2 linked regions of the Ovis aries genome follow. The protein of the gene in region 1 binds, or shares a complex with, the protein of each later gene. Links are inferred from orthologs where the notes say so. Each region holds a gene or a part of one and is shown on either strand. Other genes may lie near its edges. The genes, in order: SIRT3 and ACSS1.

Region 1 (4,412 bases):
CACGCCAGCAACCACTAGCAACTAGCGGCAGAATCCACAGAGGAAAAAAATGCCCTGGTCTCTGGTTGGTCTCGTTTCTCCAGACTTCTGAGAAAAGTAACAGTAGGTTATGACAAGGCTAACTATAAGACATCGGTATCTGTTCAGTCACAGGTCCAGAAGGCAGCGAACGCTAGATCCCAAAACCCAGTCTGGCTCTCCTCAGCCCTGCGAGATGTCACCCTTTTCCCTCCTCGGTCCTGCCTTCCGGGTCCCTCAGCACCCCTTCTCTGTCTAGCTTGTCCCCATTTAATCCACACGGGTCCGAGCGCCCTCAGTCCACCAAGATCCAGGCCCACCCCGTCCCCCCTGTCGCTCTCCTATTCCAGGAGGCCCACGGCCCTAAGGCTCGGCGCTCACTTCTTGGTGTAGAGCTCCTCCAAACGGTGCCACACGGCGGCCTGGCCGGGCCCGGAGCTCTGACTCTGTTGTAAGAAGCCGGATACGTCCTTCATGACTGCAGGAACAACCGGGGAAAGCAGTATCGCGGCGATGCCAGGGCGCGGAGGAGGCCGCCGGAAGTGCTCACTCACTTCCGGCGCTGCGTCACGCGAGGCAAGCTGGGAGCACTATGCTCAGCTTTAGGCGCCGGCTGGTTGTCATAGTAACCGCGCCTCTTGGCTTTGGACCCAGGTCTCTCCAGGGTTTGTAACGGATTTCCCCTCGGAGCTGGCCGTGCTACTGAGGCATTGAAGAGTACGGGCGCCTCGGTCGAGCTGGCTTTGTGACCTTTGTGACGCAATGTTCTTGATTCAAGTCGGGTTAACAATACCACCTTCCTAGTAGGGGCTTGCGAGGACTAAGTATAAATATGATGCCTGACCACAAAAAGCGTCCCCCAAACTGTCAGTTCTCATCTCCATCTCAACAGAAAAAAGCTGAGAGCGAGGGTAGAGAAATGCAGGTTCCAGGTTTGGTCTTGGGAACCAGAGGCGGGAACTCAACAGAATAGGAAACCGCCCCCACCTGACGTCCACCTCCACCTGGGCTGCTGGGACGGGGAAAGAGAACGTGAGGCTAGGGTAAGGGCTCGCGAAGACCTGGCGAAGGTGCGCTTGGAGGGGCGGGACAAGCTGAGCGGGACGGCCAGGAAGGACGCGCAGGAAAGACGCACAGGGGCGGGGAAAGAGCGTGAGGCTAAGGTAGGGGCGCGCTCGGGGGGGCGGGTCGCGCTCGCGGGGGGGCGGGTCGCGCTCGCGGGGGGGCGGGTCGCGCTCGCGGGGGGGCGGGTCGCGCTCGCGGGGGGGCGGGTCGCGCTCGCGGGGGGGCGGGTCGCGCTCGCGGGGGGGCGGGTCGCGCTCGCGGGGGGGCGGGGCGCGCTCGCGGGGGGGCGGGGCGCGCTCGCGGGGGGGCGGGGCGCGCTCGCGGGGGGGCGGGGCGCGCTCGCGGGGGGGCGGGGCGCGCACGGGACCCCTGGGCACCTGACATTGCGCGCTGCGGAGGAGAATGGCGCTGTTTCCTTGTTCAGCTGTTCCAGCCCTCAGGTTCTGGGGCCTGCGAGGTGCGCGGGCGTGGACCCGCTGGCCTCGGTTCGTTCCGGGCGGGGGCGGCTGTGGTGCTGGGCGGGGCCCAGGGAGGAGACCGACCCCCTCAGGCGAGCAGGGATGTCAGGCTTCCCCCTGCGTGGTCAGCGGGACGATTGGAGAAGCTGAAAATGGCAAGTCGTGGCTCAGGCGGCTCTGAAGGGCGTTCTGGAGTCCCGATGGCAACGGTTTCTCGTTTCTTCCCAAGGGTATTTTGGACGTGTGTAAACAACACTTAATGTTCATTCTTGACACCCGGCCCCCGTTTTAGTTAGATTCTGTTCTGTACCTCTCTCTTTTTTTTTTTTTTCCCACTTAACGTGTTTTGGAGTTACTTCCATTCTAAACTTAAATGCTTTCTCAGTCTTTTATGCTAGTCTGTAGAATTCCATTCTTTGGACGTTTCATACTTAATTTAACCAGTCTCGTGTTGAAAATGTTTCTAATCTTTGGTTATTAGAAATAGTGCTGTGTTGAATAACCTTGTTCGTACTCCACCTTTTGGATAAATCTCTAGTAGTGGAAGTCCTGTGTCTACACTTTATTGCCCCACATAAACGTTGTGCAATGAATACTCCCACCAGCATATGTTCATACCCTTACTGAGGTTCATACACAGTAACTGCGCATTTTGAATCCTTGTCTAGAAATCCGGCGTACAAGTGGAAAAATCTTAAGACCATAGTTGTTAATCACAGTTGTTAGGAAACTAACTTCATGCCCAATAATGGACAAATATTTCAGTAAATAATGGTACATTCACTTAATGCCTTCTTACACAACTACCAGAAATACTGGAGTTTAATAAAGAGATACCAAGGAGGAGTCTTTCTTTCATCCAGGAAACTTTTGTTGGACTTATCATCCACCAGACTGTTCCAGGTGCAGTGATGGAGCAGGGGTTAAATTGTTGCCTCCATGGAGCTTATTTCAGTTTCAGAATCTGCAGGCAGTTGTGTGGTTGGGGCATGGCTAAATAGTGAGCTTATCAATCAGTAAGCCCTTGCTACCACTTGCGGCCCAGACTGGAGGCCTAACGGCCCGTGGAGAGCAGCGTGCTTGCGTAGGCTGTCTCCGGTTTGGAATTTCTGCCTTTCGAGCTTGTGTCTTAGGGGCTCCTGATTGAAAGTGCCCTTTGTCTCCGTTTTCCAAGCAGTGTCTGTGCTTGCTCCTCAGCTTACCCCTGCTCTCAGTAAATCTCATTCCATGTAGCATTTGCTTTAAGTCCTACACCTTCAGTATTTTCTAGATGTTTGGCAGAATTCTGTCTATGTGTTTTTCAGTGACAGACGGTTCACTTGTGTAAACGAAAAGTCCACATTGAGTACCCTGAGTGTTACCTTGCACTCCAGTAGGCACTCGACAATGGGTTTTATTTCAATACCAGCGAGCAGCTTTTCAGTTTTCCACAGACGCCAACCGGATGTCAGATGTAACTGAATTCTGACTCTGTCATCCTGGAGACAGCACCAGATTCCACAGGTTAAGGGCGGTTAACCTCACTTCAGCCACTGATCCAGGTCCACTGTGCTTCTGACCAGCTGACTACAGATTGGAGCTGCCCATGACCCTTCCTCTGATGTGATTAATCTACAGCCGCTCACAGAGTTCAAGAAACCGGTTCCCTGAGTAGATTGCTAGTTTATTATAAAGGATATTAAAAAGTATGAATGAACAGCCAGATAAAGAGACGCCCAGGCTGAGGTCTGGGAGAGCTCCAAATGCAGGAGCTTCTGTCCCCGTGGGGTTTGGGGCCTGGCCCTTGGAAGCCTTCTGAACCACTTGCTTTTGGGTTTTCATGGAGATTCCAACCCTCTAATTGTGGTTGGTTTCCCTGGCAACCATACCCCATCCTTAGGGGATTTCCAGTAATCACCTCATTAACATAAACTCAGCATAGTTGTAAGAGGCTTGTTATGAATAACAGGACACTCATTTCACTTCAGAGCTCTGAAGGGATTTCAGGGCCTGAGGCCAAAAGACCAAATACTGTAACAGAAGGTGTTTCCATTGCTCTTAGGAAATTCTAAGGGTTCTGGGACTAAGACCGAAAGTATGTATTGTTAGATATAGTCAAAGCTATGTTTTTTCCAGTAGTTGTATATGGATGTGAGAGTTGGACTATAAAGAAAGCTGACCGCCGAAGAATTGATGCTTTTGAACTGTTTTGGAGAAGATTCTTGAGCATCCCTTGGACTGCAAAGAGATCCAAAGTCAATCCTGAAGGAAGTCAGTCCTGAATATTCATTGGAAGGACTGATGCTGAAGCTGAAACTCCAATACTTTGGCTACTTGATGTGAAGAATTGACTCGCTGGAAAAGACTGATGCTGGAAAATATTGAAGGCAGGAGTAGAAAGGGTAGACAGAGGATGAGATGGTTGGATGGCGTCGCTGACTTGATGGACATGAGTTTGAGCAAGCCCTGGGAGTTGGTGATGAACAGGGAAGCCTGGCATGCTGCAGTCCATGGGGTTGCAAAGAGTCAGACAGGACTGAGCGACTGAACTGAACTGAATATATATATAATTCTCTACTTTGTCAACAACAACAAAAAATTCTAAATCACAATATCAGAACTTTCCTCTCATTCCTTTTGTATTTCCCATAATTTTCATTTAGAAGGAGCACAGAAATGTTTGGCTGAGGACCTTAGGTGAACAGATGTTCTCGACGCTATGTGAAGTGGACATTTCATAGCTGTGGTTGTAGCCAGAGCCATCCTTTTCCTTCCTAACTATGGTTTTCAGAAACCAAATGGAAAACCCCATTGGAGAGTTCACTGATGTGCACTCAGGAGAGCTGCCTTGTCTGGTGCTTTTATGGAAGACTTGGGTGGAGGAGAACTTTC
Region 2 (3,803 bases), on another chromosome or scaffold:
CTCCTGCAGAGGCCAGCTGTGCTCCTGGAAGACACGCAGGGGGCCTGGCTAGGGATGGGAGGCGCGTCTCAGGTGGCCTCAGTGAGTTGGGGGTGATAGGGCCTGTGCATCCTGTGTGTCACCGCTGCTCCAGGGAGCACTGGTCACCTCTGGAGGCTGTTTATGTCCTCCTGGACGTGGGTTCTGCATTGGTGCTACTTCACCGTAACATCCCTTTGACTGCTTCCTTGCCGTGTCACGTGGGTCAGGACGTGGGCTGGCAGGCCCAGGGCCAGGCGGAGGTGGTGCACGGGGAGCCCCTCCCCTTCCAGCAGTGGTGCAGAGTGGGTTTCGTGGACACTGTAGGTGTTTGCATGCATCCAGCACATGGTAACGTGGGTCACCTCTGAGTGAGGCTCACGGAGGTGACATGACCCGGGGCCTCTCATAGGTCGGTACTGGGAGATGGTGCAGAGGCTGAAGATCAATCAGTTCTATGGCGCCCCGACGGCCTACCGGCTGCTGCTGAAGTTCGAGGACTCCTGGGTGAAGAAGTATGACCGCTCTTCTCTGCGGACCCTGGGCTCAGGTGAGCGGCTGCAGGCGTGTGTGTATCGGAGCCGCGCAGGCCTCTGGATGCTTCATCACAATGGCCATGTCTGCGCTGAGTCCACTTGATGTGGCCACAGCTGTAGAAAGCAGATGTCCTCCCTGGAAGCCCTCTTCCGGAGCCCACAGCCGTGGAGGGACTGGAGCTCAGCACTGCGACCTTGGCTGTGCTCCGTCTTCATTATGAAAACTCAGCATTGTGGGAAGGTCAGGCCCTGGCTGGTTCCCCACTGCTGCCCGGGATTTTACCCACTCTGTTCCCAGCACGGGCATCTGTGCCGTTCTGTCCTTGGGTGCGTGTCTCCAGGCAGGGATGGTGTTGCGAGATTAGAGGTTACCTTCACTTTTATGATAATTTGGATCCATGTCACCAGGTCACGTGAGGACATTTTGGAAAGGTGACCTTGAGTTGAGGTGGTCCTTGGAGGGGGAAGGTTTCAGGCCTGTTCTCCCGTAGGGGATTTAGTTGCTAAGGAAGCAGGACCAGGTAATGAGGGAGACGCTGCTTGAGGGTCTGTGTGTCCCCCAGGCCTGGCAGACTCCTGTGGGCCTCACTCCCTAAAGCCCATGACCAGAGCCACTCTCTCGGACCAGGAGTGTGCCGAAACCCCCTGCCCCAGGGAGCCCTCACAGGCTAGCCGGGCCTCTGTAACGGGGCAGCCCAGCCGCATAACCAGTGCCAATAGCAGAGGCCTGTGGGGTGTTCTGAGACCAGAGTATTGTTGAGGAAAATAATTAGTAACCAGTGTATAATAAGAATTGTTATTTAGTCGCTTAGTCGTGTCCGACTCTTTGCGAGCAACTAATAAAAATAGAAGAGAGTTTTATTCAAGCCAAGCTGAGGAGGCTAGATCTGAGGAGCTGCTCCAGAGAAGTATGTTGTTGCTAAGTCGCTTCAGTCGTGTCCGACTTTGTGCGACCCCATAGACGGCAGCCCACCAGGCTCCCCTGTCCCTGGGATTCTCCAGGCAAGAACACTGGAGTGGGTTGCCATTTCCTTCTCCAATGCATGAAAGTGAAAAGTGAAAGTGAAGTCGCTCAGTTGTGTCCGACTCTTAACGATCCCGTGGACTGCAGCCTACGAGGCTCCTCCGCCCATGGGATTTTCCAGGCAAGAGAACTGGAGTGGGTTGCCATTGCTTTCTCTGCCAGAGAAGTATGGTTTTTAGCAATTCTATGTCTTATCAGAACAAAGTACATCAAACAAGTCAGGAATACATGCCTTCAAGGTTCTGAAGAAGCCCCTCAGCACGTACACAGAGTCAGTACAGCCGTGGCCCTAGGAGAAGAGTCTTATCATCAAAGGAGTCCCAGTGTTGGCATCCCAGGCAGGAGGCATTTATCTCTTATCTCCTAAACTTCTGGTCGGTATGCCCTTTTCCCTGCTTTTTAATGACTAAAGCAGATTACAGGGTCTGTTTGACAGGCCACAGATGAGCTGTTGTCGTCAGCCTAAGTCCAAGTTAAATGGCTTGTGAGCCAGAACGACTTCCCCGCAACGACGTGCGGCTGCACTGGCAGAGGGGTGACCAGCACAGCGGCTCCTGCACTGGGACTGCTGCATGCTTTGGCCATCAGGAAAGTGCCATGACTCACTTTGCCATTCTCTGCTCCACGGACCGTTTTTAGCTGCAGGCTGCAGGAACACCCTCGTCCATTTTTCCTTCTGGGGCTGGGCGCTGCCTTCTCATCACAGAACAAGCATGTGTGGCTTTACTGCATTCTGCCAGCAGCAGGTGCCTAGAGCATTTGCAGCAGGAGTGTCACTTCTAAACAGGAAGAGAGGGATTTCCCTAGTGGTCCTGTAGTTAGGACTCTGAGCTTCCACTGCAGGGGCATGGGTTCGGTCCCTAGTTGGGATGACCATAAACAAACAGGAAGAGAAATGCCTGCATCGCTCCCAAGCTGCACTCGGGTGGTGTATATGCTGGTGTTTCCTCCACACTCTTGCCAGCCTCTTGGTTTTTGACCCCCTGATATTGAAAATATCTCACTGTCATTTGTATTCTTCAATGGCCATAAAGAGGATGATCTCACTGCTTTCTCAAGTCTCCTGTGTGCCTTTCAGGACAACTAACAGATCTGTTTTCCTCATGAAATCCGCTCCTTTGGTTTCAGCCCTGTGGAGTCTCTTAACACTTCTGTCTCGTATGGTTGCAGTGGGAGAGCCGATCAACCACGAGGCCTGGGAGTGGCTGCACAGGGTGGTGGGGGACGGCCGGTGCACGCTGGTAGACACCTGGTGGCAGACAGGTGAGCCTGTCCATCGGGGGAGGCTCAGCCCCATGGGCGCCTGGCATTTGGGGAGAGGAGCTCGGGGCTGCTGCTGCTCTGCAGCTCTGACACCTGGGTGTGAAGGCTTCCCCGAGCCTCCTTTCCTCGTCTGTAAGGTGGGGCCTGGGTGGGCGTGGAGGGGGTGACACAGGAGCCCACAAGGGTCCCGTCCATGGCGGCCCACCTCCTGAACCCAGCATAGTCTAGCCTGGGGCCTGCTGTTTAAGGGACCTTGAGTCTAGGATTAGATGTTAGTGGGAAAAGAAGTTTTATTTGCATTGTTTTGCTTTGATTTGCCCCTCTCCTCTGGGGTGTCTGACTTATCAGAATTTGGGGGCCAAGAGACCCCTCACTGAAGTGGCTGAAGTCTCATCCTTCAAGAAGCCAGAAAGAGATGTTCCTGGTTTGCAGGCCTCGTGGTTCAGAAAGGCCCTGGGTGTTCCCTACAGCGGAGCCCTGGTGGGCCTTCCCCTGCAGGCTGATGAATCCAGAGAAATGACCAGGGGCAGAACCTGGGGCTGTTCTCCCTGTCTGGGGTCCTTGCCCTGAGCATTCTTTTCCTCTGTCCTCCTTTCCGCTGCCCCCATGTCCCCATGACACAGGCTGGGGACCTCAGCTCCTGGGGCTGCCCTAGGTGTGTTCTTGTTTCCACAGTGGAGGGACCAGCACTCTAGCCTGGTTTCTCCTCAGACAGAGGTCCTTTTGTCACCGGGGCCATTTCCTTGCCCCGGATGGCAGGTCCTTCCCTCCCTCTCTGGCGTGCACCCTTGTGTGCTGTGTGGACCCAGTGCCCATGCGGTCTGGACGCACGTGTCAGTAGCCCCAGGCCCACTGGCGTTTCTTCTTATCCCCTGCAGAAACGGGGGGCATCTGCATCTCTCCACGGCCCTCAGAGGAGGGGGCAGAGATCCTGCCCTGCATGGCGATGAGGCCCCTGTTCG

What was found.
Region 2: the proteins of SIRT3 (region 1) and ACSS1 are in contact, whole or in part, in a crystal structure (PDB 3GLT), measured with the Homo sapiens proteins. The link is inferred for Ovis aries from reciprocal best matches to the Homo sapiens genes SIRT3 and ACSS1. Residues at the interface, in NP_036371.1 of Homo sapiens: Gly145, Ala146, Gly147, Thr150, Pro151, Asp156, Phe157, Arg158, Ser159, Glu177, Phe180, Gln228, Asn229, Ile230, His248, Ile291, Val292, Phe293, Phe294, Gly295, Glu296, Pro297, Leu298, Gly319, Thr320, Ser321, Leu322, Glu323, Val324, Glu325; in NP_115890.2 of Homo sapiens: Ser640, Gly641, Lys642, Val643, Met644, Arg645.

The regions. Positions count from the first base shown.
Region 1 is NC_056074.1:47,445,921-47,450,332, forward strand, and holds the start of SIRT3 (NAD-dependent protein deacetylase sirtuin-3, mitochondrial), read left to right. Parts: upstream 1-1,462; 5' UTR 1,463-1,485; coding exon 1,486-1,568; intron 1,569-4,412. Other genes in the region: PSMD13 (26S proteasome non-ATPase regulatory subunit 13), read right to left, coding at 400-494.
Region 2 is NC_056066.1:42,192,001-42,195,803, reverse strand, and holds part of ACSS1 (acetyl-coenzyme A synthetase 2-like, mitochondrial), read left to right. Parts: intron 1-430; coding exon 431-568; intron 569-2,748; coding exon 2,749-2,841; intron 2,842-3,719; coding exon 3,720-3,803. UniProt on the Homo sapiens protein: Catalyzes the synthesis of acetyl-CoA from short-chain fatty acids. Acetate is the preferred substrate. Can also utilize propionate with a much lower affinity. Provides acetyl-CoA that is utilized mainly for oxidation under ketogenic conditions.